2 linked regions of the Arabidopsis thaliana genome follow. The protein of the gene in region 1 interacts with the protein of each later gene in a pairwise test. Each region holds a gene or a part of one and is shown on either strand. Other genes may lie near its edges. The genes, in order: BON1 and BAP1.

Region 1 (16,360 bases):
GTTTTCTCTGGGTCCCGAACTTTTGGCTCAGGTTTTTGTAAAGGAGAAGTCTTGGAAGCAGCGATCATGGACTCTGCATCTTCGATAAAACCCTCGAGGTCTTTCTTCTTTCGGGATACTATGGCTCGGAAAGCCACTGGAGTAGAAGAACTCAGTTTCTTAGAGTTACTATCAGATAAAGCCTCTCTTGCTTTCTTCAAGCATTTCTTGTAATGTGACACAGACGCAAGGTTTCTGCCCAACATGAAGAGTGATTGTGCACAAAGTTCAAATACCGTCACATGTTGCGAAAAGCAAGCAACACAACCCAACAAGTATGCGACTTCCATGTCACGGTCCTCTGCTTTTTCAGCTAGGTCTACGAAAACATTACCTTGTTCGATATGAAGAAGCCATGCGTCATTGGCATTCCAATGGATTGAAATCAAATCTTCAAGTATCTCCAAGGCCTTGATGTGATTTCCTTTAGCGATGAGATCTTCAGCGTCTTTGTAGAGTCTTTCCGCCATAACATCCTTCTTGAAAGAAGACGCCATAGTAACGATTCTTCACGATGATTCTTGCTCTCGAAGGTTTTGTTTTGTGGATCACGATGATTCAGAGAGATTTGTGAGAGTAGAGGCGGGAACAATCAACGATTATAACCGTAAGGTACTGAAGAAGAAGAGGCTGGCTTTTTATATCACGTGAGAGCCACGTGACACAAGCCTTAAACAAACAGAGAGAGACCCACAATTTTGAGTATTGGGGAATTTTGTCGAACACCTTGTGTGCATTATCCGTTTGGGATTTTCTCGGAATAAAAAAATCAAAAAAAGACCCAAAAATTGAGTGAATCTTCGAATATGGGTTAAGAATTGAATGTGGAATGGTCTTCATGTTGATGATGAACAACATTCGTGAAAATGTTTGGAGAGCCACACAAGAAAAATTAGATATTTTTATTTTTACAAAAAATGGAGAGTGATGTTGAAAAAACAATAAAAGGAACTCTTGAGAGGTTTTGGTTTTGCCGTTGAAGGAAAGACTCTAACTCGCTCGGAGTATTCGGGGATTTAAACGAACCAGAAAGATAACCGAGCCGGTTAAGTGGTTGTATCTATTGATGATGTTAAGCGATGTCGTTTGAGGTAATCGCTATAAGACGTTTAGCTCAAGCTCTGCATTTTCTTTCAATCTTTTTTTTCTCGCTCTCTATGTTTTCTATCTTGTGTAACAACACTCTTAAGACTCAAGTGATAGTGAATTAAGAGGTACCGTAGTTATACTTGGATCACATCGATCTCATCAAAAAAAAAACCAAAGCAAAGATAAAAAAGTGTCTTCTGGTAGATGGAAACATCAATGCTAGACTTCTCCACATTGTCACTTGTTAGGCCATCGATCAGGCAGCTTCGTAAAGCAGAATCTCTGGCCGAACCTTCCTCTCTCCACAGAATCTGACCACATTCTTCCAGTCACCAACATCCTATGCCATCACCACACATATATCAATCATTCATGTCTACCTTATCTAAATTCACTATACAATTCTGAGGTAGACAAAAGGTAACTGTTTCGACTTACCTCTCCTGCTATACACTCACGTCTGAGATTGACCCACCGGTTTTCTTCATAAGCTAAGCATATGTGTTCTTCATCTCCTTCACTGTAACCAACCTGGATCACATCCCAGATATTCTTACACTGTAACTAAGAAATACAAAAGAACAATAGCACAAACATATATGACCCTGTTTCAGATGTTTTACCATTGACACAAGCCTGTACTTAGTGTTTGGTGCTAAGCCTTCTTCGTACAGCCTGCTGATATCTATCTCCCAGTCAAAAGCCTTTGTTGTTTCAGATATTTCGTTTTCAGTTGCACTATTCTCCCATTCCAATACTGATGTTGCAAACCCACAAAACACCAACATAAATATATGATATGAGTACAAAAAAAACATCACAATCATGGGGGTCAAAACCTTACCGATTGTGAAGATAGGCGGGCATCTACTTGAAATGTGCTGAACAGAGTTCGTCTTTCCGCAACCTTCTGCGTCACATACCATTTTATATCTCAAGCGGATCACCTTTAGGATATCTACAAAATTTCTATTCCCCAAAGCACACTGCATGTGTTTAAGCACAAAACAACTATATAAGGGGAAGTACCTGCAGTTTCTGCTGGAAAGACAACGAGGATGATAAATGATAAATACCTTCAGTTCTCTGATTGTATCTGCTGCCGTAACAATGCCATAACAACTTTGCTGTGGATAATTTGTAATCCTTCTGCATTTTATACAACTCATTCTTTTATTTTCCGCCGAGGTAAAGAGGCGAGTTACCAAGCTCTCCCTTTCTGGATTTTTCCAGCAACGCCAAAAATCAAGGATGGCTACTACTACATTAGCAGCATCACTTGACTGCAAAGAGCAAAAAAATAGAATACCTTTAGGATATTAAATAAGATTAATGACAACAAACAATTAACAAAATAATGCTTAGAAGCATATCTTCTCCACACGAACCATGGAAATAACTTCTTCTTGGGAAGTAAGTAAGTCCCTCAAGAGGCAACTGTAGACACCCTCATCTTGTATCGCTTCTGAAACAACAGCAGTAAATAAATTTTGTAGTGCAATAGGAACTTGTTCTTCCTGGTGGTCTTGAAATGGTTGGTTCAGCAAATCTTCTTTGAGAACCTTAATGTTCAAGAGGGCCTGCAATACCACATGTTTTTGTGAACTTCTCAAAAAGAATAAGGAATCAAAAGATGAGAGTTCAGGTATTGAATCTTGTTTTGATTGATAATTGCTTTACCTTCAGCGTCATGTCAAATGCTGAATTGTATCTGGTTGTAGCTTCTCCAGCTACTGACTCCAAATGTTCCGACAGTGAATCTTCTCCAGGCATGTTTCGCATATCTTTAAAATGGTCAATGAAAGAAATAAGAAGTTATGAACCTCACAAGAATATAATTCAAATTATTGCTCAAATCGAGAAGCTTTTAACTACCAGGGTCATCTTTAGTAGCTTCCACTTGAATTTCAGTTTTGGATGAAATTTTCAATTGACCCGTCTCACTTGCAAGAGCATCTTCTGGTTCCATAGAACCTTCTTCGATCGTTCTTAGTGATGAAGATGTACTCTCCGGTTTAAGGTTGACAGAAGGTTTACTGTACATGTAAGAAAACGTTTTGGTCAGAGAAAACGCGAAAACAATTTATAACATGCGAAACTGGCCATTGAGGTACTTACTGTTCAACAGTCTTATCAAGGGAACTAGATATGCTCGTTGAAGGTTTCTGTTTCGCCAAGAAGATCAATCAATCTCACAAGTAGTATATACACAAACCATGGAATCCTACAAGTAAGGAAACGATATCTACATAGAAGATATGATATCCCTATAAGATAGGAAGACGTTATTGACTTGTTCCGAGAACTTAAAACCGATATCACTTAGGTTTATCCGATATATCTTATGTAAAATATTTTTCAGAGAAGCAAATAGAGAAATTAGAACTTCAAAGACCTTTTTGCTTCTATCTCTCCTCTTCTTTGATTGTGGCTTCTCCTTTGATTGTGGCTTCTCCTTCGATTGTAGCTTCTCCTTCTCCAACTCGTTTAAAAGATCTGCTTCTGCTGCATCTGACTTGGCTTTGGATTCCATATTCACAATTTCGTTCTGGATGAGAAGAGACATAATAACATATGAGAAACAATTTAAAGGCAAAATTTGACGGATAATAAAATCTCTCTGTATATAACAGTTTCAAACCAACCAGCAAGAAAGGTTTAAGCAGTTGAAGGATATAAGTGCGGTTGTCAAAAGCAGAAAGCCTTGTGAGGTTGTTTAGCAAACTCATCCTTGAATTATCAATCAGCAAGATCTTTGTATCCATTAAAAGAACCTGCAAGTCATATAGACACTTTTAGATGGACAATTTCATGTTATTCTGTTGTTAATGAATATTAAAAGATGAACCTTTTGGGTGACCACTGATTTCAGAAGGTCTATGGCCTGCAACACTTTATCGTCACTGAGACTTTTGTGCTCACGTATAAAATTCAAGCAATCTTCTAAATCGAGGAAATCAAGTGTTGGATGCAATGCTCCTTCGAAAACATCCCGTACTGCACACACGAATAATTTTGTAGTTAGGGAATTTTCGGGGACTCTCTCTTCACACACATCGCATAGAAGAGATGCATATCTGCTCCATTGATCTTCCGGCAGATTCCTTCTCCTTTCATTTTCTCTCACACACATGTTCTCGACATCAGTAAGAGCTGCATCATAGTCCACGACCTGTAATTTCTTTGCATATTTGTTTCCCAGAGTCCTACAGGTGAACTTAACAGCTTTCAGAACAGCCAACCAGATATCAAGATTGTGTTCCCTGATAGGTCTGGGAAAGGTCTTATCTACTGAATTGTAGTCAGTTAACCAGGATATGATATCATCTCCATGAACTGGTGTCTTGGCGTAGTGAACACTGGGATCAAAAACATTGATCGTCCCTTCATCATCATCGAATTGATCATCATTGATTTTCAGCAGTCTTTTATCTAGAAGCAGAAATGAAAACTGAGGGTCAAAGTCGATCTTTTCTTTAACTCGAGTACGACCCAAGACACTGTCCACTGCTCTGCAAACAAGATCTGTACCATCATTCCTTTTACATTTGATGTGGTTTAGAAACTCAAGGATTTGAGTGAGTTCCTGACTTTCTAGAAAACAGATACTATGAGGTGTTTCTACTAAGCGAGAATCGACAAGACTCTGTTCAGAAACTTCAAGTTTTCCAAGATGCTTAGCTGGAAAACACATCATCCAGTCTCGAATGCTACAAGAGAGAATTTTAAGGTCGCAAAAAGAGACAAGGAGCAATTTGATTTCCTTGAGTAACTTACTGCGCTCTTCATCCACAGCTAAAGGCCATTCTTTGGACCATCCATTCTTAGCTTTAGATGCAAACGCTTTCACATCTGCGAGCTGGTTCTTGATCATTTCAGTGGCAGCGACTGCATCCACTGGTTCCCAACTTCCAACTATTATCTTACGAACCCAGTCTTTTCCTATCCTCTTGACTATATCCTTTTCTGAAGAAGGTTTGAAATCTGCAGCATGTTGTTGTTCAAGATGATTCTTACATTCTTCAGCACTAGAGAACTTCCTCGAACACAAAGTTCGGCATATCCAGAATTTCCATTCTCTGTCTTCCTTTGCCGAAGTGAGAACCTTCTCTAAAACTTCTCGTTCCTCTTTGTAATGTCCTACTCCCTCAACAAAACTTGTAAGCTTTGCAATGCTTACTTTCATAAAATCCCTTTTGATCTTGACATCCAATCCCACCCAGTACGACCTCAATCCTTTAAACGCATCCTCACGCGGGTCTTGACTTTTCTTTGACTCCACAACTTTTGGTTTAGTGTTTTTTACAGTAGAACCAACTAGAGTCTTGGAAGATGCGATCTCGGACTCTGCGTCATTGATTAAACTCAACAGTGCTTTATTTTTTTTGTCCAATTCTCTTTGCGCTTGCAAACTCAGTTGAGCAACAGAATCTGACTTGCTTGGGAGAGAGTTAACAGATAAACCTTGTTTCGCTTTCTTCAAAGACTTCTTGTAATACAATACTGACCCAAGCATTTGGCCCAACAGGAAGAGTGAACTAGCACAAATTGGTGATAACGTACCATCTTCCGAGAAGCATTCAGCAGAAGCCAAAAAGTAAGCAAATTTCACGTCAGGATCCTCTGTTTTCTTCGCTAGGTCATCAAACATTTTACCTTCTCTGATATGAAGACGCCATGCGGTTATATCTTCCCCATGGACTAAAATCAAATCTTCAATTATCTCCAAAGCCTTGATGTGATCTCCATTATCAAAGAGTTTTTGAGCATCTTCAAGGAGTTGTGCTCCCTCATCATCTTCCATGAAAGAAGAATCCATAGTAAACGAAACGATTCTCAAGATTCTTTTGCTTTCTTTTTCTCTAGGGTTTTTCTTCTTCGGAGAGAAATCTGAATCGCGAGAAGAAGCAGAGTCGACGCGGGGAAACTCAAACGAAAGTAACTGACTAATGACAGCAAGGCACCGTATCATCACGTGAAAGACACGTGACAAGGCTTGATAGCAAAACAGAGACACAATTTTGATCATTGGGGAATTCTATCAAACACCTTGTGTGCATTACCCGTTTGAGAATTTCCCGGAATAAATCATCAAAATAATGAGTGAAAATCTTCAAATCTAGCTCAATAATTGAATCTAGAATCGTCTTCATGTTGGGTATGAACAAAAATTCGAACTTGAAAAGATCAGCAACAAGAGAGAGATTCGACAAATCAAGTGAAAGAAATAAAAAAGTTTTTTTCATTTATTTACTCCACTACCACTAATAAAGATAAATACTAAAGCTTTGGTTTGAGACAAAAAAAAATGCAGAGAAGAAAGCTAGTAGAAATCTCCATCTTCGTAATCAGAAAATCTAATTTTTCATCTTCCATTAAATCTCTAACCAATCTCGACGTCGACGTTTCAGTTGATAATGATGAAGATCCTCTTTACGCCGACGTACCTAAACCTCCGAAGGATAAATCGGAGAGGAAACCGTATCCGACTCCGATGAAGGAGTTGATTCGTCGTGCGAAAGAGGAGAAACAACTGAGAAAATTACAACCATGTCGAGTTCTCGAAGATCCACCGGATAATGGTTTACTTGTGCCGGAACTTGTCGACGTGGCTCACTGTGTTCACCGATGCCGTAACATGTTGCTCTCTGGCCTCTCTAAAATCATTCATCATGTTCCTGTTCATCGTTGCAGGTTACTTTCACTCTGTCTCATCTCTGTGTTTGATTTGCTGATACTTCCTATTGCTTGTTTAAGCGTTTTATATAATCTATACAACCAGAATTTGATCCTTGAAGTGTTTTGCGTGCTTTGTGTGGTAATTGATTGGAACAGAAGATCCAGTGAGATTTGAAAAAAAATTGAGACTTAAGTTGGCTTTAGCTAGTTTTGAAGTTTGAACTTGTGTGGTTTGTTTGCAGATTGTGCGCTGAGGTTCATATTGGCAAGCAAGGTCATGAAATCAGGACTTGCACTGGTCCCGGGAGTGGTTCAAGAAGTGCGACTCATGTTTGGAAAAGAGGAAGAGTGAGTGATGTTGTGTTGTTCCCAAAATGTTTTCACCTCTATGACCGTGCTGTGAAACCGAGAGTTATACATGATGAGAGATTTACTGTCCCTAAAATCTCTGCGGTTCTTGAGCTATGCATACAGGCTGGTGTAGACCTCGAGAAATTCCCATCCAAGCGAAGATCGAAACCTGTGTACAGCATCGAAGGACGGATTGTGGATTTTGAGGACGTCAACGATGGAAATTCAGAATTGGCAGTTACTTCTACTACTACACTTATACAAGAAGATGATCGTTGCAAGGAAGAGAAGAAGAGCTTGAAGGAATTAAGCTTCGAGACGATGGAGTCATGGTTTGAAATGGTTTTAGGGGTCAGGAAACTGATGGAGAGATACAGAGTGTGGACTTGTGGGTATTGTCCAGAGATTCAGGTGGGTCCAAAGGGACACAAAGTAAGGATGTGTAAAGCCACAAAGCATCAGATGCGAGACGGAATGCATGCCTGGCAAGAAGCGACTATTGATGATGTGGTCGGTCCAACCTATGTGTGGCATGTTCGGGATCCTACTGATGGTTCTGTTCTTGATAATAGCTTGAAGAGGTTTTACGGGAAGGCTCCTGCGGTTATAGAGATGTGTGTGCAAGGTGGTGCACCGGTACCTGATCAGTACAACAGTATGATGAGGCTCGATGTAGTTTACCCTCAACGCGATGAGGTCGATCTAGTCGCTTGACCTCTTTAAGTATTCAGCATTGCTTAATGATTTAGTATGGACACAGTGAAATACTCCCCTGTAATCTTAGGTTCAGGTTCATCTCAATTCTTAAACCTTGAACCAGTTCAATTTCTTGAAGTCCTATAAATTTATACAAGAAATCTTAAAGTTCCAGATTGGTATCTTAAAGGCGTTCACTGTTCAGAATAGAACTAGCGATTGTCTATTAGCCAGATTCGTAGATTAACCCGGTCTTGTTTTTCGATGAACTGACATTGTTTTACACGAGAGGCACTAAAGAATGTATTAAGATGGCTGAAGACAGGTTGACCAAAAAAAAAAAAAAAAAAAAAAAAGATGGCTGAAGACTCTTTGTTTAGGCGGTAGAATAATCTCCTTCGTTTCTTCTACATTGGTGTTTAATTCTCAGCAGATGTTGTGATCGACCATTCAAGCACTTCTCTAACTCATTACTCTCTATCTTTTTTTCAGAAGAAACAGGTTGATATAGAAAAAATGAAAACTCATATACAGCTTTGATCCTCTTGCGATCCTTGCGGTTCTTGTGATCCTCCCTATATAGAGGAGCCTCTTGGTCAGCCTACAAAGTAAAAACCATTCAATTCTCGACAGCTTTGTTCCTTGCGGTTGAGATCTCACTTCGCAGCTTCTCAATCGCTTTAACCGCTCCAATTATCTTCCTCTCCATCCCTTTCAATTGCGCAAGTTTCTCTACGTTCCCACTCTTCTCTTCCTCGAACTCTTTCCTGTTCCATCAAACCAATTGGTTAAAAAAACTGATGATGAATCTTTAACAGTTACTTGACACGTAAAAGACAATTCTTTTACCGTAATCTCTGATGCTCCTCTTTCAACCGCTCAAGCTCTTGACTCGACGCCTCTAAACTCTCTGCCTCAAGACAAACCTTCTTCAAATCTTTCATTCCCAACTTCACCTTTGAAGCAAGCTCCTCACGTTCTCTCGCCAATCTATGAGCCTCAATGTGAGCTGATTGCACTTCCCTCCTTATATTCTCTCGATTCTTGACCATACCCTCCATTTTCGCTATTTTCTCAAGAGTCGATCGGATCTGAATCTCGTGGTCTGTTTCCGTCTTTCTGATGTGAGCTCTTAGCCCCTGGACTTCGCGGTCAGCCACGGTTAAGTCTTCCTTGAGAGCTACGTAGCTTGAAGCTAGTTTTCGGTTGTCATTAGAGAGCCGGTCTATCTCAGCAGCTTGAACTGCAATCTTGTTTTCTAGAATATCAGAAAGTGAAATCTGGTGGTCTCGAAGATGACGAGGATCCGAAGTCGAAGAAATGGTATCGTGGTGCCTCGACGATGATGATCCACTAGTTGACATACCTTGGCTAACTCGGCTATGATGATTTGAACCTATCCTCTCCCTTGAAGACATTCTGGAAGAAAGAAAAAGACAAGACTCCACTCAAAAACTTAGATTGAACAAAGAAAAACAAAGAGTTCCTTTTTAACCTAAAAACTTAAACTTTAAGAAGCGAATTGAGTGCAAATTCTAAATTCAACACTATGCTATCTTCTTTCAGACAAATTATCTATGCAATGAGATTGAGTAATCGAAGACAATGGCAAATCTGTAGACATCGTATCTTGACACGAGCTAGAAGAAAACCCAGAAAGAGGAATTACGAATTAGATTCTCAAGCTAACAACAAGACCCAATTTACCAAATCCTAAGAAACCCTTATATCATCCTTATCACAATTGGACGAACCTGAAATTCACAAAGAGAGATGATCTTCGATTAAAATTAGCTGAAACCGAACACCGAAATGAGATAAGTGTCGCAAAATTAAGAGCTTTATGCTCTAAAACCTGATCTCTAATCAAATCAAAGACAACGATCGATTCCACAACAGCACCAGCTTTGGTCTCGGCTTGTCAGAAAAAAGTTCCAGTTCTCTGTAAATTGTGATTTAAAAACCATTAAAGACGCCAAATTAGTTTCGTTTATAGATTTGGGCCAGTATTAATCCATTAAGGCCCATTAGATAGTAATTGGCCCATTTTAATAGTTTCCCTTCCATGCCTGTCACGTGACCTTCAGCTTCCTTCTCTGAAAGTCATCTTCTTCTCCCGACTTTTTTGAACAAGGGAAGAAGAATCCAACTTCATCAATTCAGATTCGCACGCTTGAAATTATCTGAATAAAAATCGAAAGCTAATAATGAGCTGATCGCTAAAAATATCTCTCGAATTCAATCTTCCTGATTTTCAATTTCTGTCTCTAGGGTTTCAATATCCGATAAGTAAGTTTTGTTCTTGCTCTTCTTACCTCATTCACATATCTCTCTTTGATTTTATTTTTTCTGAAATTCAAGAAGCTTTTTCTGTTAGATTCTCATAACCTAATTCGTTTTGAGGTATTTATTATTATTTCTTGATCCCACATTTGTTTCAATCGCTTTAAGCTCCAAATTTGTAATTTCAGTGTCATCTTCGTACTTGTACTGAAATGCATTGAAAATGGCAGAAGCGATGGAGACGGAGATGGATTTCTCAGATGGTGAACAAACTAATGGTAATTCACATGTTACTGCCTCCCAATACTTTGCTCCTCCGGGTTATAATAGAAGTCTTGTGGCTGCTTATGGGAATGGAAACACAACCATTGGATTAGAAAAAGGAATAGAAAGGAGACTAGATCATCATGAGCAACTACCTGGTTATATCTTTATGTGTAATGGGAGAACGAAAACCGATTGCTACCGTTACCGTGTTTTCGGGATTCCAAGAGGAGGAAAAGACGTTGTTGAGAGTATAAAGCCAGGCATGAAGCTTTTCCTCTATGACTTTGAGAAGAGACTTCTTTATGGTGTGTATGAAGCTACTGTTGGTGGCAGGTTGGATATAGAACCTGAAGCTTTTGAAGGGAAATATCCAGCTCAAGTAAGCCTGTGTGTGAAACACATATGATTTTGTTTATATGGCACTGCCTAAGATTGTTCTTTTCTCTATTTTCTTACTTGATTTTGGCAGGTTGGATTTAGAATTGTCATGAACTGTTTACCCTTGACAGAAAACACTTTCAAGTCTGCTATCTATGAAAATTACAAAGGTTCCAAATTTAAGCAAGAACTTTCTCCTCACCAAGTAATACACTTTTTCTTGCTATTTATAACACAGCCTTTCAAAGTTCCAGGCTTTCCGGCTTGGCTTTCAAGTTTCAATTATGATATGCTAAACAAAAATGTTCATGGATTGCAGGTTATGTCTCTGTTATCATTGTTTCGTTCATTTACGTCTCCAGAACTCGATTTGTTGCCTCATAGGTTGGCTTCCAGAGCTTCAGCACCTAGGACTCTATCGTTTGAGGAAAGGTTCATAGCGGCTACACATCTTAGAAATGCTTCATCGGTTTTAGATCCTCTGTCTGCTCGTCATGTAGAACCACGACTTGGCTCTGTTATGGCCCATCAGCCTGTTCCCCGCACATCTCTGCTTCAACATAGTTACTTTAGACAAGACGACTACACGACCCCACCTAGAGAAAGTCTGTCAAATTTGAATCAGCCTTATTATCCTACAGAAGCTCGGCAACTACGGTTGCTCGGAGACCCTTCTCGCTCAGATTCTCCTCGGTCCGAACCTCCGCGGTCATCTATTCAGGATCCTCAACTCAAATACCTCACCATTTTATCTAATATTCGGAGGTACCTATGGTGAACTTTTATCTTTGCCCAAATATGTCGATCATAGCTCACTGAAGACCTGAAGTTGTAGCCATCAGATGTTTAAAATCATAGCTAAACCTGAGAACTCTACTAGGTTCCTCCACTCTTCAGATGTTTACATTGTTCCTATTTCCTGGCTTTGCAGTTACTTATATGTGAATGTGTAATCATAGGGCTTGGTTTTTTTGCAATGACAGATATGGATCTGCATCAGATCGCTTGGCCTCAGAAAATGAATATCATCCGGCAACACCATCAGAGAAGGACCAGTTTGCTGTACCTTATTCTGATAATAAAAATTACCCTTCGACTTTATCTGGGAGTGAGCATCCTTCTGCTTCTGCAGCTAATGGGAGTGTGTATAGAAGTGAGTTCTATAATTCAGCATCACAAAAGGAAGGGGAAGCTAGTCAGCAGCATGAGATCCCTGCTGGGACTTACCATCACCCAGAAGCATCAACAGTTTCCAATACTACAAAGTCCATGCAACCAGATATGCAGGCAGTTAGTGTTGCTCAATCTCATACCGAGACAGCTGGCTATCCTACACCGGCACATGGTGAAGCTTCACAACCACCTGCTGGAGCAATTGGTTACACACACCAACCTCAAAGTGTAGCGGGTAATTATAGCACGCATTCACAGCCTGGGAATGTGGAAGAAAGTACACAATCATATGCTGGAACAGATAGTTACTCACAACAGCAATATTATGCAGCTATGGGGCCTACTACTCAACTCCATGCTGGTGGATATATTCAAAAACCTCATGAAATTGGGTACTCTCAGCAACCTCATGATGCGGCAACCGGGTACTCTCAGCAACCTCATGATGCAGCAACCGGGTACTCTCAGCAACCTCATGATGCAGCAACCGGGTACTCTCAGCAACCTCATGCCGCATCAACCGGGTACTCTCAGCAAACCTATGCTGCAGCAACCGGGTACACTCAGCAACCCCATGCGGCGGCAGCCGGGTACACTCAGCAACCCCATGCGGCGGCAACCGGGTATTCTCAGCAACCCCATGCTGCAGCTACCGCGCACGCTCAGCAACCCTATGCTGCAGCGACCGCGCACGCTCAGCAACTCCATGCTGTAGCTACTGGGTATGCTCTGCAACTCCATGCTGCAGCTACCGGGTACGCTCAGCAACCCCATGCTGCCGCAACTGGGTATGCTTTGCAACCACATGCTCAAGCTGTTGAATACACAATGCAACCACATGCTCAAGCTGTTGGCTACATGCCGCAATACCATGCTCACGCTGTTGTATACAGTCAACAAGGTGTGACGCAAGGTTCTGTACCAAGGGCTCCTGGGACAACTGATTGTAATGCTGCAAACCAGGCATATTCTGCAACAGGAGATTGGAATGCAGTGCATCAGTCTTATTACCCTCAGACAGCAGATGCAACCACAACGTATTATCAAACATCTTAAAACGTTAAAGCAAAGTGTTGCTACTCTGGTATGCCAAAGAGGATTCTGTTAAGTCTCGTGTATTTAAAGCATTGTTTCGGTTCAGGTGAGAAACGATTTGCTGAAAACCTATTTGCATTGGTATTGCAGGATCTGAGAAACTTGTGCGTGATGGGTGCGGAAGCATGGACTCGAACTGGTGCACTCAGTGGAAAAGAAGGTCAAGGACATAAAACTAGAGTCTCCAGCTCCGTTTACTGTAAGTTTAAAAGTTCTATGTTACGGTTTGATCATATTCATTTCTGAGCTGCGCATGAGGAAATTCCTCAAACCATCAAAACTTCTTTAAGTCCCGTTTCAGGAGTGCAATCTGAAATGCAATTCTGATTGGGATTTAAAGTTAATAAAACATATTATAACTCTGTTATCATTACTTATGCTAAAACATTTCTTTTAGTATGGTCATGTTTAATACTTGGGATTTGCTATTAAGAATACTACCTTCAAAAAGGTTCATCTTAAACACTCTCTCAAACGAAACCTAGGGACCAAGAATATGCTTATTGGCTCTAAGATTAAGTGGCCTAAACCCTAAGCCATATCTATTGGTAGACAAAAAAGAAAAGAAAAGACTCCTAAGTCTCCCACTATGTATGTTTGAGCACTTGCACTGCAATTCACATGTTCTTTGTTTTTTCTCTTTCTCTTTCAAAAAAACTTTTTATCTATTTCTTTCTTCTCCAATAAAAAAGATTTTAAAAGACACCTATCTCACTCTTTCCACCTACTTTGTTTTGTTTGCTACAGAATTTACTTAAGGCTCTGGTCTTGCCCTCTTGTTTCTTTTTTTTTGGGTCAAGGGTCCCGTATGTTTACAGCTTTGTTGGTTGTGTCACAGATCATCAAAATATTATTGACGAAGGAAAAAATACTGAAATTGGGAAAAACATGATCAGATCCAACTCTCTGAATTGTCTCGAGGTCTTTTTAATTGGAATTGAAAAATGCAAATTTTCCTGATAAATTTGGAGTTAACGTTGGCTTCTTTCAATAGATGTCTATTATATTATCTTTATCCACTTTTTGAAAGTTATAGTCCCCATCTATCATCATTTACTGATATGATCTGTGGGATTTTTTTCTACAAAATTTCTGAGTTGTGTGAACCTTACGATTTGTGTTAAAGATAAACAAAGTATGACCTCCATGGTAATAAACTACTAATTATCTTTGTAAAATGTTCTCACGTGAAACTCTCTCACTATTTCCTATTGCTCACTTTATGTCCCCATAGCAACAACGACTTGTACTCGTCTGAAAATTTCTCAAATTTCATGTAAATAATAATAATAAAAAAATTATTACAATTCTTCGCTAAAAGCATCACAGATCCAGTTGGCAAAAAGAATTATATATATACTATTAGTGCATTGCAAATAAAATTATTAAAGACCAACTGTTTGTCATATAAAATATTATAAAGGATTTCATAGATAATATGTATTTGATATAACAATTATAATCGATAACAATATTCTGATATTGTAAGCTGGAAAGATTATGTCACAGAAGTTAATTGCTCTAATTAAATATGTCTGAGGTTAATCTGATATTGACCAACACGTCGTTTACTACAATAAATACAAAAAAAAAAAAGAGAGCGAATTTCTCAGAAAACAGCTTAACGTTTCTTGGATATTTCGTAAGTCAATATTAATCAAATGAAAACAAACAAAAAAAACCTATATAAGAAGGAGACGCTGTAAAACAGAGCGAGTCAATTAAAAGAAAAGAAAAAGCGCGACTTAGACAAGTGGGTCCCATTTACTGCTCTCCCAGATTATCATTTTCTTCTGAATCTTCTTCTTCTTCCGAAATTCCTCACAAAAAAATGTTTGTCTCTGTTGTTCGATCCAGGTACTTTTGAATCCGCAGTTTTTTTTGTTGGGAAATCAAAAATTATGGGGAATTGTTGCTCCGATGTCGCCTCCGGTGCTGGTGCTACAGCCGGCGTTGGTGGAAGTGGTTCCTCCGCCGCTCTCGGTGCGACTAACGACGCCCTTGATTACTATCTCAAGTCCAAAGGTTTCAACGGACTCTTCTCGCAGATAGAGGTTCCTTCACTATCATCTATCTCTCGTGTTTTTTCTCTACTTCCGCCAAAAAACGTTTAACAATGATATGTGTGTGCTTCGTTTGAAAGAAGAAAACTGCGAAATTCGATTTTCCCTGTATATTCTGAGGATTCATGTTTGATACTGTTTTTTGTTGATGCAGCTATCGTTTTCAGCTTCGAATTTGCGAGACCGCGACGTGCTCTCCAAGGTTACTTTGTTATTCAAAATTGAATTAGTCTTCATAGCTGGTCATTTTAGTTAATGACAAACTTTTTGTTTTTTGTTTTTTTGCAGAGTGATCCTATGGTTGTTGTATATCAAAAAGAAAAAGATGCAACACTTTCAGAAGTTTTCCGCAGTGAAGTTGTTTTGAACTCTTTAGCTCCGAAATGGATTAAGAAATTTATAGTCGCTTATCATTTCGAGACTGTGCAGACATTGGTGTAAGTTTCTTATTATCTTGTGTGACTTGAGGAAAGAGATGAACCTTTACCTGACTCTTTGTGTTGGTTTCTTTATACTCAGGTTTCGTGTGTATGATGTTGACACCAAATTTCAAAATTCAAGAGAGGAGGTAATTGTTTATTTACTGCCTGCATTTTCATTTGATCTGATGTTCACTTTTCTCAATATGTTAATACTTTTCAGATGCTTAAGCTTGACGAACAGCAGTTTCTTGGTGAGGCAACATGTGCATTGTCTGAGGTATCATTTTTGACATTGACAATATATGTGCACTTGTTTTTGCTGGTTCTCTGAGAGGCACATCAGAAATTTTGTTTTATTGCCTAGCTTATAAGAGAGAGAGAGAGAGAATACTTTATATTTAACTTTTCAACCACGCAGATAATCACAAAATCAACTAGGACGAGCACATTAGAACTCAAGCGCAAAGATGGCTTTGCTCCACAGGCTCAGCCTCACCACGGAAAGCTTATCATCCATGCTGAGGAGTCCCTTGCTTCTAAGATTTCAACAGAGATAGTATTTAGATGTTCGAATTTGGAATCTAAGGATCTTTTTTCAAAAAGTGTAAGTTTTGTTGTTTATTCTCTTTACCATTTTAATAAAATTCTAGTTCTGACATCAATATAACACTTTTTTTTTGTTGTGGCTCAACTTTAGGACCCCTTTTTGGTGGTATCAAAGATTGTAGAGCATGGAACTCCAATTCCCGTGTCTAAAACTGAAGTCCGGAAGAATGATCTTAACCCTATTTGGAAGCCAGTCTTTCTTAGTGTTCAACAAGTGGG
Region 2 (16,321 bases), on another chromosome or scaffold:
TGAAACTGGGAGCCCAGAAGACACCGACATGTCTTCTACTCCGATCTCGTCCGACACGACGGCGGTGTCCAAAGTGATCGATCCAAATTACGTATTAATGGTTGCTGATTTCTTCAAAGCTATTTCCCCAGACGAATCTTGCAACGATTTCACCTCTTTCGACTCTTTCTCCGTCTTATTTCAAAACAATACCAGAGCTCTCTCCATCGCACGCGGCCGTGTCTCGTGCTCCGTCACCGTCACGCCAGGCATATCCGTAATCATCTTCTTCTCTCTAATTAGATCAAATGGGTTTCGTAAAGTTTCGATCTTTGATTTGTAAAATTGATTGGTTTCGTTGTGAAAACAGAATTTCTTTAAGGGGTTACATGGAGGAGCGGTGGCATCAATTGCAGAGAGAGTAGCGATGGCTTGTGTGAAAACTGTTGTGTCTGAAGACAAACATCTGTTCATTGGTGAATTGAGTATGTCTTATCTCTCTTCTGCTCCTATTTCGGTAAGCCACCTAACATTCATTCTCGTCTCTCTTAAGACTCTCTCTGATCTTCAAAGCACAGAAGCTTATATTGTTTGAGATTTATTTTGCAGAGTGAATTGTTGGTGGAGGGAACGGTGGTGAGGACTGGGAGGAATCTGTCGGTGGTGACTGTTGAGTTCAAGATCAAGGAGACCATGAAAGTCACTTACCTATCTCGTGCTACTTTTTACCATTCTCCCATCTCTAAGCTTTAAAGCTTTTTCACATGCTCAGTGATCTTTTGCTGATCTATTTACATTCTTCTGTTCAATAAAACAAGATTCTGTATACAGATATTACTGTCTTTAATCAGTTTATACAACACTACTACATTATCATCCACCTACGAAGAATTTTGCATCCCCATTTAGCAGAGTATGACAAGGTGAGATCTCTGAAGTCTCTAAAGTAATCAAGTGCAGTGGTTTGACATAGATACATGAATGGATGCCGTTTGTGTTGGAAAGTATAGATCTATGGAAGAGCATCCGGGAACCAGGTTTAGGCCTCAGGCGTATATTGCTTAGGAAAAGGCCTCATCACGTTTCTCGGTGTTTCCATCAAGGACACCAAGTAAGATTTCCTGAAAATGGTAACTTGCATGATTCTTACACGAAATCAACCCATCTATCAAGCTAGCTGTAATTAGATTGGGGGCCTCAAATATTTAGTAAAATGGTGGTGGTGCATCAGATGTGTCACAGCCTGTGAGAGAGAAGTACAAAAGGAATCAATGTTTAAATTGGTAGTGTGCCACAACAATCTCACATACAGGTCCTCTTTTATTGGTCACTTGCTGCTGCTCAAAATGTTTTCACCTGCTTCCACTAGCGTCTATCATCACTTCATCGCAAGATTTCTGGTTAAGAAAATGCTCAGAGACCCAATTCACTGACAAATGTAGATCTTTTAATATTGAGTTCCTGATAACATGCTCAAATTGGGTTTACGAAACTGTAAGAACCAGAAAGCCATGCCATATTGCCATCCCATACCGTGTGGTAGAGAGCTTAAATGGAGCAATAAGATAATTGGGCTATTGATATAATTAAGTGGGCTTTTGCCCATTTATCACTGCTACCCAGTACCCAACTACCCATGTACGCTTTTCTTATAAGTTCCTACACATTATCCCACATCGCTAATATGACAAAAAACACTTGATTGTATATAAAGTGTGAGGAAGCATTGTTGGTCACGACCTTACTTGAACAGGATCTGTTCTATAGGCTCGTACCTCTGTTTCCTTGATTTCTAAGGAGACAGGCCCTTAACCCTGGTTGATGAACCATGGCCGTGCGATCAGAGCGTGATTGACGGCTACGATCGTCTTAGGACGCATCTGGTGCTGTAGAGGATCGTTACTCGGCTCGGTTCTACCTTGCCGGGGTGGTTGCACGGCGGTCTGACAGGTTCCATTTTTTTTCACTCCTTATATTGTCTTGTGGGATGTTTTGAGATGACCACCAAATTTGATATTCGAGCACGATTTTTAAAATTTTACAGTAATGTGGGTATTTCGTCCCAAGTCAACCACTTTATATGTACAACTCTACATTCCCTCTACGAAGATAGTGCATCCCAATAATGAGCAGACTATGAGAAGCTAGCAGAGATATTCTTCTTTTTTTGGTTTAAAGAAAAGCTAAAGTCTGTCAAGGAATCAAGTCCAATTGGATCCTGCACTGAATACCATTCGTGTATGAGGCATGGAACTAACGAAGGAGCATTCAGGAACACCTGCTTTGAAAAAAGGCATCACCATGGTACTCGTCAATGGAATCTCTAGCTTGTGTAGACCAGGATTTACATAAAGCCACAAGTAGGAGCTAGCTCATGTAAATGGAGAAATGCAAAAGTGATTTGAGAGCACTGATCATCACAAATCACATTAAAATAATGATGCTTATGAACATACCTCATCTAGAAATCTCTCAACAACCCTAAAAAGTATCTCTGTGTCTTTCGGTTTTAGCAAATTTTACATGTAATAATGAGAATGCGGATATTCATAATTCTGTTTCATTTCATCGTAATGAACTCGGAAATTCATAAGCCCATCTTGAATTCCTCATAATTGCTGTCTTGACCTGTTAAAAAACAAACAAACCAAGAGTCAACCTTGACCTGTATACCATCGTATTGTCTTAGTCGTATCCATGTTTAATTTCGATAGTGTGAATATATGTACGAGTTATAGACGATATATAACACTTTTTGATCGTTTTGTGATTAAATCACATGACATAAATTATATGTCATGTCAAGGCTAATATCCAAAATTTTATGAAAGAAAAGAGAACAATTTTTTTCCTATTAATAACAAAAATGATCATCATTGACTAAATCATATGATATGTCCAAGTTTATCCTGTGATACGATGCAACTGTTGTTTCTTTCCATTTTTCCAAATTATAGACCATTAAATGTCAACTGGGATACACAGTACACTGCATCAGTGCATTCAAAATTTCCAATGACAATTACTAGCTCTGGACCAAAAAATTAAGTACCGCTAATCATTTTTTCATTTAATGAAAGATTGGTAAGATGTGTTATGAGGTCACCGAGTATCATGTCACGCACATGACTCTGCATTATCTGACAGAGATGCAAATGAGAATCATAAGATAGAGTAGATATGTGGAAGTTCGTGGAAATTTAGATTTTATAGACTTGCTATAGGTATTTATAGGTCAACTTCTTTTAGTGTAGCTTTCCGGATATATATGCAACGTAAGGCACAATTTTCGTCTAATAATTACTAATAAATTCATTCACCTAACTTTATTTCGAATTTGATAAGATTATGAAGTGACTAGGTAACAATAAGATGTACTAATTTATAGGCTCTAACCGGTGAAATCATTTGTGGGGAATAAGCCAAATTATACGCTTAAACATGAAGAATGATGCTGACATATAATCTTTTTTCTTGGTGGATATGCTGATCATATATAATCTGTTAAATAATTAGCATTTAGCAAATATGTTAGCAAATTAACCATAAAACAATATTTTTTAAGAATTTTATTTTTTGATAATAAATATTAGCTAACTTGGTATATATAAAACCTAATACCGATCTTTAGGTAATTAGATGGAAACATATGTTGGCAAATGGGTGAGTTCATAATTTTAACATAAATGTAAATTGTTCAAAATTTCTCAATGTAACAGCTAGGTTTTTGTCTTGATTTCACTGTCTTTATCGAATACTGTAGTAGGTTTCCCAGCCACTGCCTTTTTTAAATATATGTATGTAATATTTTTCTAAGGCTCGATCGGAATCAAAATGGAAAATCCCCACCATATCCTATCAAAATGGAAATACACATCATATCCTATCATTTCCCTTTGTCGCATATGTAAAAACACTATTAAATTCGTTGTCAGGAACACTTGAAAGTGGCTTCGATCGGTGACTTTAGTCTTTAGATGAAGTCAATGGACTTGGCAATGTTTTTTTACCCAATATTTCCGGTTTTATAAATCTAGTGAAGTTCCAGACACTGTGATTTAAACATTATTTCGGAGGAGACTAAGTTATCCGTTTTAGTCTCTAACCAATTTAGACGTATTTAGAGTTCAGTTCCAAACTTCACAACTAATAAGAAAAGAAAAGAAAAAACAACTTCTTATGGTTGATATACGAATTGATTCAGTTTCGATGGCTATATGATACACGCCGATTTAATTACTTTGGTAGCAAATTAGACCCTTAATTTGAAGAAATAGATAAATTTGCAAACCTAGCTACCAATGCGATTAATCGATTATATATCAGATATCATTGTTTCACCAAGAAAAAACACTATAATTATTCAGTGTCAGAATATTTTACACGCAAGTACTATAGTTGATAGATCGCACTATAATAAAATTATCAGATGGGGTTTTAATTCCACAAAGTGTGCTGACAAACACATGGTGACGTCACACATTGTGATCCATGCATGCATGAAAAATCCAAGGCATGCTAGTATAAGATTAGACAACGTAACTCCTCCTGTTATAACAATATGATCATTACCCTTTTATAGTACATATGGCCAATCTATCTCAAATTTATACAAACTAGTATATAGCACACCCATACGTTAATTAAAAACACAATGTAAATCGGTTTGATATTACAAGTTAGCTTTTTGAACATTAAGGGCTATTATATTTATCTTTTATTAAAAAATGATAATTAAGGGGCATTTCCACATAGAAAAATATATGTAGTATATATAGAATCGTATATATGCGACTATGATCAGTTTGCGGCTCTCGAGTGTTGTGGGACGTTAAGTTGTTCTTCCTCCAAATCGAATGGCCGTAAAATGTTAGCTTTTCAGATTATGAGAAGACTTTTTGAAAACTTGACGCAAAGATTAGAAAATTGAAGCTGTCGAGTTAATGTATTTTGCTCTACATCCAAATTTTTTTTTTAATACTTGAAAAAAGATATACAATGCGAGTAGAAAACAAAATACAACGTTTCATGGAAATCAACAAGAGAAAAAAGGTTCCAACGAAATTCGTAACTGCAGGTTAACCCAAACAGATGTTTCCAATACATGAGAAATTCGAAAGTTATGTTTTTTTTTTCTTTCTGCAAATGATGTTTTGATGATATATATGCGGTACATATTTTCAAAAATAGATATTATATTTTTTAAGGCATATATATTACGTGGTGAAGACTTAATTGTAATTGTACCTTACGTGCAAACATGATCACATAATCATCATAAGAAACCATAAATTTCTTTACTATTTGTTTTACTATCTTCACTTTAAATTGAAGTTTATTTTTTTGCACAACCTGTCCAAGAATTAAGGAATGGTACAAGTGTACAACCGTACAAGTAGGACATGGAGTCAACGACTCCCCCAATATTTTCCATGAGTTTTCGTTCCACTCGTAAAAAAAGAAAAAGACGAAAGTAATCTATACGTATTAGATAATTAGTATTTTTGATTGTTTGATAAAGTCTACGTATTTGAATGTCTAAGTAAATTCCAACCTTCTTAAACAAAAGTTAACTCCATTTACACTAAGAGGTCGTACGAAAATATATTCAAATGAGTTGAATAATTCTTGATCAATATTTGGTGAAAAGTTATAACTATAGTTTCCGTTCAAATAAACGTTTTGCGAAGGAATTTTCCACATAATTTTCTCACAAGTTAAGTTTTTTAACATCAAGAAAAAGTATTTTGATGTTATTATCCTGAGTATGTAAGTTCTAATTAATATCTAAAAATATAATTAAGACTCTGTCGACAACTAAATATCAAGGCCATATAGAGCATACTTAACAAAAAAAAAAAACTTACACCATAATACGATACGAGTATGGACACTTCATAATTTTAGTAAATTATTTAGAACATGATTACCACATTTTATTTTATACGACAAAACTACATGGATTTTAGGAAATCTTGAGCTGGAGTTGAGATAAAAAAGAGTCAATTTCAAAAACGAATAATTAAGTAGATCTTAAGGAAGAAATAAACGAGTACTTTCCTTTATACAATTATACTCGTGTTTCATCGTAGCTGCTGGTACGCGCATTTTTTTATAACAACGAACGTTCTCGCGTCTCGCCGCGTTTATCACGCTGCTGGATTCAACTCGCTTATGCGGTTATGCCACATTGTTTTAATTCCTTTTTGTCGTATTACACTTTTAACTAGACAACATTATTCAAAAAACAAATTGTGTTTATATTAATTAGAAATCTTGAGATTGATGTTACGTAAATAAACTAACATCGTGATTCGCGAGATTCGAAATGTCATATAATCACAAAACTAAATTTTTTTTTTTATTATTATTATACTAGTAATAAAATACTCAGAATTTAGTTTATTTTATATTAAAAAATGTTTTTAAAAATGTAAATATATTTGAGAATTTATGACCACTTATAATTTATAGTCCTTTTCATAATTTACACATTCATCTAAATAGAAGAAAATGAAGGAGTAATATTTAAGCTGAAGCACAAAATTATATATGAACTAACACAGCAAAGAGTTAAGTATTATTTATCAAAAAACAAAAAATAATGATTCATTTGAAAACAGTTTTATTGTTTTCATAAAATATATTCAAACAATTTTATTTTATTTTTTGATATAAAACCGAATTCAAATGAACAAAATACTAATCTAAAATTTAAACGTAATTTCCTTGTCTTTTTTTTTTGTTGTCTTTGCCCTTTTTTGTTTGGTCGACTTCTTTATATCTTGATAATGAGCTGGCGGGAAAAAGAGAAGAAATCTCCGAGCGACTTCTTTCCAAACTTCCTTGTCACCTTCCTAAGTGATGTTGTCTATATATAAACTTGTTCTTTCATTCTACTTAATGATTAGACCAACAAATAAACATTAAACCCAAATGATATATTTTGGTAGATCAATCGACAATCATTATACAACAATGATGACAAAAACATTGGAGATTGATTTGAGATCAGCAGAAGGGCTTAAGCTAAACCGGAGACCCATCAAGAAAAAGACTTTCGCCGTCGTAAAAATCGACGAGAAATGTCGAAAATCTAATCTTGACGAATCGAGAAGAAGCAATCCTACATGGAACTATAAATCAGAGATGCCCATCAATGGTAATGAACAGTTTATCTTCATTGAGGTATTTTATCGAACAGGTTCTGGGCATGATAAAAAAATCGGAGAAGCTAAAATCCCAACGAATGATTTCATGGGAAGGTATTCACCTGAAGGTCACTTAAACTTCTTGAGCTATAGATTGAGAGATGAGTTTGGTGATAAGTGTGGGATCGTCAATCTTTCGATTTTGGTTAAATCGGATCCCACCAGAGATTACGGCGCGTGTTCGTCCCAAGCGGCGGTTACTGGTTTGTGGAGGCCGAGATTAGAGACGGCATCGATTGATGGATACGGTGGCCGGACTGTTACCGGAGTTCCGGTTTGGGGTCTGTATCAACGCCAATTTTAAAATCTTTTTTTTTTGGGGGGGGATGCACATATTATTAATTCTTCGTCTTTGTTCCATAGATTTTCCCAATTTGGAATTGAGGAACAAAGATGTGTGATTAATTTTTGTTATAATACTCACGAAACCAAAATTGAAAATAGAAAAGTCAAATTTGTTCGACGATGATATCTAAGAACTTGTTGTTATAGTTCGTGCATGGTGTGTTTGTTGGAAGAAGAAAACAAAAAAAAAAAAGTCTTGCAATTGTTCTGGTTTGTATTTAATGATTGTGAGTTATTGTAACGTTACTTGCGTGGTGATTTGTTGCGGATATGATTAAACAAATATCTAGTGGTATGTTTATAATCAATTTAAATTGTTTTGAGAATGTTACGTCATATAATCTTTTTTTTTTTTTGTCAAAGTTACGTCATATAATCTATGATATTTAATCCTTCAAAAGAAGAAGGATTTTCCTCAAGTAAAAAAAAAAAAAAAAAACAGAGACAAATTGAAATATTTATATTTGTTTCACTATGATAGATTATGGGCATGTTTACAAAAAAATCGAAATGAAATTGTAATATGTTTATGCTGTGACAATTTTATACCGCACAACTTTAAGACTAGATAAAAGTAGTTTCTCTGCTGGTTAGAGAAGAGATAAGACTTCCACGGATATAAAATGTGCAGTGTTAGATGTACCTCACGTGGGCACTTTGTTATGGACTTATTTTGGCTTCACTACGACCGTCTGTTCTTGTTTATGATTTTTTGTTTGAATTGATTTACTAATTAACAACTTCACAAGATTATAGAAATTTCAACCATTTTGGTAAAAGTTTGTTGGCGCAATTGGGCTTAGTCTCTGATTTCGGCCGACTTTTAAAATAGCGGCCACTGGCTTCAAGCCTTTTACTAAATCCACACGTTTCTCTCTCGTTCGTTACTTACGAGTTACGGCTTACGACTACAACACAAAACCCATTATTATTTTAGATAATCTTTATATGACTCTTCCTCTTTATCGCCCCACTAAAAACCAAAATTTTTGAACCAAACCAAACCAGTATTCGGATTAATTATCCCTACTTACAATCATATACTCATGTCAGGAGGACAACTGTATACACCCAATATTTTTAGTTTTCTTAGATACATAGTTTAATAATCAAAAATTATGATTATCCTAACGGACTAATTCATATATTATATGCTACTTTGAGTGTTCTCACACATCTGATGTTGCATATAACAAAACTAGGTATGATTTATCAAGTTTTTGTTTATTTCCATTTATATATCAAGTTTCTAAATCTCTTTCCTGTTCTTATAATTTTTTTCTTTATTTTCGAGAATCTATTTAATTATTTATTGACTTTTCATTTTTGTTTTATTCATGTATCATATAGACTATTATGTATAATTAACCAAGTTCTTATTTGTTTCAAATTTTATTTTATTCTTTTAGATATTTTTCTTATTTGTTTCAAAAGATCTCTTTCCGTTTACCTACTTAATTACTAGTTGATTTATATTAAAAAAAACTAGTTTTAGATTTTGTGATTGATTATATATATATATATATATGATATTTGGGTGTACATTATCGTTTTACTTTAAAGTTTTTCATTTCTATTATATCATCTAAAATGACTAAAACCATCGTTATTGCTATCTTCATAGTCGTCCTCTTCTAGGTTTAGGTTTGCTTTATACATATAACATATTAAATGTATTTTCACCTTTTTCTCATTTGTTCACAGTTCAGTGTGTTGATATCACTTCTTTATTTTATATTAAAATTTTGAAATTATATATTTTATTATTATTATTAGGGATGGTGACTAAGGAAACACAAGCAGAAGGAGAAAAAGTGTGTGTCATCATAATCTTATAACACCAACCGAAGGCTGTAAAGCTTCGCCGTGTGATGCTATGTGTGCTTCAAGGTTTAAGGGAGTAGGCGGGTGTTCTAAAACCGATCAGTTTACCTGCAACTGCATGTTTATTTGCAAAACATGATTTGTCTCTGTTATCCATAAATCATCATCAAAATTTGTTTTTTTTTTTGTATCAAACCATCATCAAATAGTAATAACAAAGCAACGGGTTTGGAAAAATTAATATTGCAGTCTCCAGGTCCTCTTTCTTTGTTCTTTCCTCTGTAATGATCAAAGAATTATAAACATGTTTTAAGGTAATGATGAGCTCATCACATTCACAAAGACTGAGAGCACAAATTTCCTCCTCCTCACACTTGCTCATTGCCACTATGTTCACCATTTTTGAGAATATGGAATTTGGAGAGGGCAAGTCGCGTTGATCCTTAGCCATTTGTCTACACATAAACTGTAGAAATGTTGTCTACAAGGAAGTTTTGTCGGACTTTTAAAATAGCGGCAATATTGGCTTTAAGCCTTTAACAGTTTAACTACTTCCACACGCTTCTCTCTTGTTGCTACTTACGATTACAGAATAACCACATTAGTATGGTAGATAATCGTAATATGATCTCTTTCTCTTTTCCACTTTTATACGTTTCCACTTTTAAGTTAATTTCTCTTTGTTTGAATACAACATCTACTTAATTACTTGTTGATTTTTAACTAATTTTAGAGATTTTGTGATATCTTATATATGACATTCACGTGTAGATGATCATTACACTCATTGTCATCTTATTTTTGATAATTTCATTTCTGTTGTATTATCAAAAATGACTAAAGCCATCACTCTTGCTATCTTTATGGTCGTCCTCGTTTTAGGTTTGCTTTATACATAACACATATTTTAATATTTTCCACGTTCCGTCTTTATTATTCATACTAGTTTTTCTTCAACAACACCTTTTATTTTTCTATCAAAAGGAAACTGAGACTATGTTTTAATTTTTTTGTATTAGGGATGGTGACAAAGGAAACGCAAGGAGAAGAAAAACAGTGTTATGATTATCTTTTAACACCGCAGGAAAACTGCGAAGGTTTGATATGCGCACATGAATGTACTATGCAGCATGGTGGAAACGGCGTGTGTGTTGATACTACAAGCACGGTCTGCATCTGCACTTATGACTGCACCAGTTGATTTGTCTTCTGTTATCCACAAACTATATCATCAATCTTTGACTTACTACGTTGAATAAATTTTTAGAATACAATTGATTGCAGTGATTTATATATATATTTTTGAATGTGAATTCTGATTAAATAGTGATCTCTCTCTCTCTTTTTCACCTCACTACAATGACGTCACAGCAATATAAACATGCATGGTTCATCACCGTACATTAATCTAATTAATCCGTTGCTTAAAAACACCAAACGGCTAAAATCACAACTGACTCGATGAATAACATCTTCCAACCGAACTATATATACTTATTGCATTTACAAATATCATATCCAAAAAGACAAGATGTGCAGCTTCATCTCAAAACAAATCTCAAGGTCTTCTTTCTTGTTCTTTCCTCTGTAATGGTCAAAAGAACAAACAGGCTTTGAAGTAAATGATGATGATGAGCTCATCACATTCCACAAAGATTGAACAGCAAAATCTTTCTCCTCATCACACTTGTTCACTGCCACTAGGTTCACCATTTTTGAGGATATTGAATTTGCAGAGAGGGCAAGTAGCGTTGATCCTTAGCCATTTGTCTACACATAAACTGTGAAAATGGTGTCTACAAGGAAGCTCCCTTAGTTCTACTCCATCTTCATAAGCACATAGACAAATGCTGCATTCCTGCAATGGTTTTTTTTTTCCGGTTTTGCTAAAGTCAGTTCAGTGTCTTTATCCAAATTCGATAGAAAATGGGAGATTTGATTATGGTTACTTACAGCATCTTCGCTTAATAACATACGTTCGGTTTGAGACTCGGTATCTAATCCAGTCATTATCCCTCCTTGAGTTTCCCGTATTTCGCCATTCACTTTCTCAGAATTCTTTACTGTGAGAAACTTGAATTTTAAAAGCCTCTCTATCTCTTCATCCGGTGCACCTTCCTGAAATTTACAAATCGCTTAATAGGATTCACCAAGAAACATGAGACTCATTTGTTCTTCATCATCATAATGTTTCTTTACCTGATCTGCTAATGCGTACAAGATCGCAATGATGCAAGGTAAACAGCAACAAACAGCAATACCAATAAGACTAGCAACCGCTACGCAAATGACAACAAACATAACATCAAACGCAAGGAATGCAACACAGAGCCTGCAAAACACACAAGAAACAAAGATTAAATAAATCACAGAAACAAACTCTTGAGAATACAAAATCACAACAGCCAACTTTTGTTAGAAACAAACCAGTAGAGTTGTGGCGAAGATTGAGCTAGTGCCTCGGTATCAGCCGTCACCCAGTAAAACCCGATGATCCACCACACAAAAGAGAACATGGTATTCGCAGATTCAAGGTGCTTAGTGAAACTAGAATAGGAAACAAACCACATGAGAGTAGATCAATGGGAAACAGTTCTCATTCAGTTCTTTATTTCTATACAATCCTAAAAGTTTCCTTCAACCTAACATGGCTCTGAATTCTAAGCTAGTATAAGTCTATCACAAGAACCAACATTGCTCTGAATCTAAGCTAGTATAATGCTGTAGCCATAAGAAAGAAATTGAACCTAGTTCCATGGTCATCATCATCAGTGTTGTTAATGCTATAGCCATCAGATTCATCTTCACTTCCGCTAAGAGACTCGTGATTGGAGGAATCTTCACCACTAGGAGGAGGAGAATTAGCAACACGGCGACGTTTATACTCAGCAATGACACATCCAACATGAAACAAACACTGAACATTATACCCAATGATCCACAACCTAAGAGGAACATCAGGATCTTCATCAGAACTAAACCCTAGAATCGCGATTGAAACAATCACAAATAGGAAATTCCAAAGTATATCGAGAACTATAATGGGTTTAGAGTAAGCCCATTGACTCTGCCGTTCCTCAAGCTGCTCAGCCGCCACCTCACGGACTCGAACGGAGGGCTCACGGAGCATCATCCGGCGGTTGCTAGCACGGCGGAGAAGTCTCGACGCCGCGCCACGAATCGGCTGAGAGGACCGTGGGCGGTTACGTCTGTTCCGGCCAAGAAGCGGCGAAGCGTCCATCGTATCAGTCGTCGGAGAAGAAGATACGGTAGAAGGGATCGATTGATTCATCAATTAGAAAGATTGGATCTTGGGTAATCGGGTTGATCCAGAATCTCGATGGATCGGGTTTGAATTCGCTGGAAATCTGTCGACTTTGCGGGGTGGATGATTCTAGGTTTCGAGGACCAGTTTCTATCTAATGGATAATTGACAAAACGACAAGAGAATGTCTTGTCCCCAATAAACGTTTTGATATCATGAGACTACAGTAGTTTTATTCTTCCGGGAAATTCTAAAAAAATACATAAACTTAATGTAGTTGCTCAAATCTTTTTATTTTCCAAAAGGACTTTTTATATTTTTGCTAACATTTTTTGTACCCCCACAATTTGTGTTATGTTAAGTTTATATCTAAATTATATCATTGTAGTAGACATACTTTATTTTCGAGGTTTAAGGCTCAATTCAATATCTAAATTTTGAGAGTTTAAACTCCAAATATGCGTATTATAGTTAGAAGGGGATTATTTGATGGATCCTTACAACTTATTTTTTAAAGATTAATCCAACTTATTGTACATGAAAATCAGAATTGTAAGATAATTAACTGGATTTTATTTACATATATTTTATAGATAAAAATCTATGAGAATGCACCTTGGACCATTCAATGTATTACAAATTTTAAAATTATTAGTTGTATATATAAGAGAAGCTCTCTTATTTAATTTTATTTTAATTGATTTTGTAAATATCCTTCCTATGTTTATATATTTTATGATTTTGTTTCCATTCCCACCATCTAAATAACTATTTATTTATTGATTTTGTCTACTTTTTTTTATTCATGTACATACTATATGTATATATTTAATTTCTTTTATATATATATAATGATATTCACATCTATATTATCATCAACATTTCTGGTTTTTTACTCTAAAATTTTTATCAAAGATGGCTAAATCCACCATATTCGCTATTTTCATGATCGTCTTCGTTCTAGGTTTGCGTTACATATACCATTCTTTAAAACATTTAATACATCTTTTTGGTTCTATGAAGATTGTGTTTAAAGCTTATGTTTTAATATTTGTTAGGGATGGTAACGAAAGAGACGAAAGGACAAGAAATGTGTCGTGATCTTTTAATGAGAGCTAAAAACTGTGACGATAGCACTTGTGCTACTCTGTGTAAGCAAAAATGGAAAGGAAATGGATCGTGCTTCCCAAACGTATATAGAAAAAGCTGCCTCTGCACATTTCCTTGCAAAACTTGAACTCTTACAAAGTCAAATTGTAATTTATAATAGTAATAAAATAATGATAATAAAACTAATGATAATGACAATGTCACAATGATAATGACATGAAATAAAATTAAACTTACACAATGTCTTATATTATTATATAAATTCTGATTTCATTTTCTTATTTCACATGAACTATAAGCTACTACTTGAGCATATGAGCTTCACAGGGATGGATCATGGATATAACAATTATTTTACAAAATTAAAACATTGGTATATTTGAAACAAAAGTCTTAAAAACACATGAATGAAAGCGGAATGAATAATCTTAGTTATTCCTTATCTAAATTAAAAACATATACATATTCATTAACTAAATAAAATCTGACCTACCAAAAAAAAAACAAAATCAAATCCAATGGTTTTGATGTTGGGCAAGAAACAGGAAATCTAGTTACAAAAAAGAGGTTTTCTTTCATATCTTATTGTTGAATTAGATGGCATTTAAATCAAAAGTTTATCTCATTCTAAAAGTGTTATTTGAATTCAATTCTATTTATATTTGAACAGATTACTTTCTAAAACACTTACTTCCATTCTCACTATCTCTTGACTTGTCCATCTTATGAATATACAGTTTATTTGGATTTTTATTTTCTTTCTAATTAATATACTTGAATGCTTTCCAAATCAAATGCGTCCAACTTTTTTTTCTATTAGGATTGATTGTATATTAGACACGTAGACACACAACTTCACACATATATATAAAGATGATATTTACAAGTCACATATATTACAAAAACCCTCATTTGGTTTAAGATATTAAAAGAACTTCAAATCCTTTTTTTATAGATAAATATCAATGAGAATGCAATTTGGACCATTCAATATATTACAAAATTTAAATTATATATATATAAAGCTCTCTTATTTTATTTAATTTTTATTGATTTTTGTAAATATCCTTCCTATGTTTATATATTTTATGATTTTGTTTCCATTCCCATCATCTATATAACTATTTATTTATTGAATTTGTCTATTTTTTATTTTTTTTTCTTCATGTATCATACTATATATATATATATATATATTTAATTACTTATATATATATATATATATAATATTCACATATATATTATCATCAGCATTTCTGTTTTTTTACTCTGAAATTTTAATCAAAGATGTCTAAATCCACCATTCTCGCTATTTTCATGATCGTCCTCGTTCTAGGTTTGCCTTACATTTACCATTCTTTAAAACATTTAATACATTTTTTTTGGTTTTATAAATTTTTTTTTAAAGATTATTTAAAATATTTGTTAGGGAAGGTAACGAAAGAGACGCAAGGACAAGAAATGTGTCGTGATATTTTAATGAAAGCTAAGAACTGTGATGAAGGCACTTGTGATACTCTGTGTAAGCAAAAATGGAAAGGAAATGGATCGTGCTTCCCAAACGTTTATACTTATAGAAAAAGTTGTCTCTGCACATTTCCTTGCAAAACTTAACTTTTATAGACTCAAATTCTAATTTAAAATAGTAATAAAATTATGATAATAAAACTAATAATAATGATAATGATAATGATAATGATAATGATAATGATAATGATAATGACAATGACATGAATTAAAACTAAACTTACACAATGTCTTATATTATTATATAAATTCTGATTTCATTTTCTTATTTCACATGAACTATAAGCTACTACTTGAGCATATGTGCCTCACAGGGATGGATCATGGATCATGGATCATGGATATAACAATTATTTTACAAAACTAAAACATTCGTAAATTTGAAACAAAAATCTTAAAAACATATGAATGAAAGCGGAATGAATAATCTTAGTTATTCCTTATCTTATATTAAAAATATATACATATTCATTAACTAAATCAAATCCAATGGTTTTGATGTTGGGTCAGATACGGAAAATCGAGTTAAAAGAAAAAAGGTTTTCTATCATATCTTATTGTTGAACTACAGTAGATGGCATTTGAATCAAAAGTTTATTTCATTCTAAAAGTGGTTTTTGAATTCAATTCTATTTATATTTGAACAGATTGCTTTCTAAAACACTTACTGCCATAGTTCCCATTCATTTTCTCTTTACTTGTCCATCTTATGAATGTATAGTTTATTTGATTTTTATTTTCTTTCTAATTATCATACTTGATTGCTTTCCAAATCAAATGCGTCCAACTTTTTTTGCTATATTAGACACGTAGACACACAACTTCACACATACAGTATATATATAGAGATGATATTTACATGTCACATATATTACAAATACCCTCATTTTGTTTAAGATATTAAAAGAACTTCAAATCCTTTTCTTTTTCCAACCAAATCCTATTATATCATCAAAAAGATGAGTAAACTCACCAATGTTGTCATCTTCATTGTCTTCTTCCTAGGTTTGTTTTACATTTCCATTCTCTAACTATATTATAAATGACCATTAACAAATTA

What was found.
Region 2: the proteins of BON1 (region 1) and BAP1 interact in a two-hybrid assay, tested with the Arabidopsis thaliana proteins (2 studies listed by BioGRID).

What each region holds. Positions count from the first base shown.
Region 1 is NC_003076.8:24,857,742-24,874,101, reverse strand, and holds the start of BON1 (Calcium-dependent phospholipid-binding Copine family protein), read left to right. Parts: upstream 1-14,760; 5' UTR 14,761-14,803; intron 14,804-14,829; exon of another isoform or gene 14,830-14,907; coding exon of another isoform or gene 14,908-14,951; coding exon 14,952-15,104; intron 15,105-15,267; coding exon 15,268-15,315; intron 15,316-15,401; coding exon 15,402-15,550; intron 15,551-15,632; coding exon 15,633-15,681; intron 15,682-15,755; coding exon 15,756-15,812; intron 15,813-15,953; coding exon 15,954-16,139; intron 16,140-16,232; coding exon 16,233-16,360. Other genes in the region: AT5G61950 (Ubiquitin carboxyl-terminal hydrolase-related protein), read right to left, coding at 1-536; AT5G61940 (Ubiquitin carboxyl-terminal hydrolase-related protein), read right to left, coding at 1,385-1,468, 1,567-1,659, 1,752-1,885, 1,973-2,114, 2,205-2,411, 2,517-2,708, 2,809-2,912, 3,004-3,164 and 4 more; APO3 (APO RNA-binding protein (DUF794)), read left to right, coding at 6,437-6,822, 7,050-7,872; AT5G61920 (FLX-like protein), read right to left, coding at 8,474-8,621, 8,704-9,272; AT5G61910 (DCD (Development and Cell Death) domain protein), read left to right, coding at 10,373-10,783, 10,874-10,987, 11,102-11,547, 11,766-12,840, 12,935-13,039, 13,141-13,249, 14,908-15,104, 15,268-15,315 and 5 more. UniProt on the Arabidopsis thaliana protein: Negative regulator of cell death and defense responses. Negative regulator of several R genes, including SNC1. May have effects in promoting growth and development.
Region 2 is NC_003074.8:22,642,010-22,658,330, reverse strand, and holds BAP1 (BON association protein 1), read left to right. Parts: upstream 1-6,732; 5' UTR 6,733-6,915; coding exon 6,916-7,494; 3' UTR 7,495-7,728; exon of another isoform or gene 7,729-7,877; intron 7,878-7,955; 3' UTR 7,956-8,172; downstream 8,173-16,321. Other genes in the region: AT3G61200 (Thioesterase superfamily protein), read left to right, coding at 1-256, 350-496, 589-732; LCR54 (low-molecular-weight cysteine-rich 54), read left to right, coding at 10,193-10,241, 10,379-10,560; AT3G61180 (RING/U-box superfamily protein), read right to left, coding at 11,041-11,217, 11,313-11,477, 11,559-11,691, 11,787-11,906, 12,107-12,651; LCR53 (low-molecular-weight cysteine-rich 53), read left to right, coding at 13,540-13,588, 13,683-13,861; LCR52 (low-molecular-weight cysteine-rich 52), read left to right, coding at 15,022-15,070, 15,164-15,348; LCR8 (low-molecular-weight cysteine-rich 8), read left to right, coding at 16,221-16,266. UniProt on the Arabidopsis thaliana protein: Negative regulator of cell death and defense responses. Exhibits calcium-dependent phospholipid binding properties.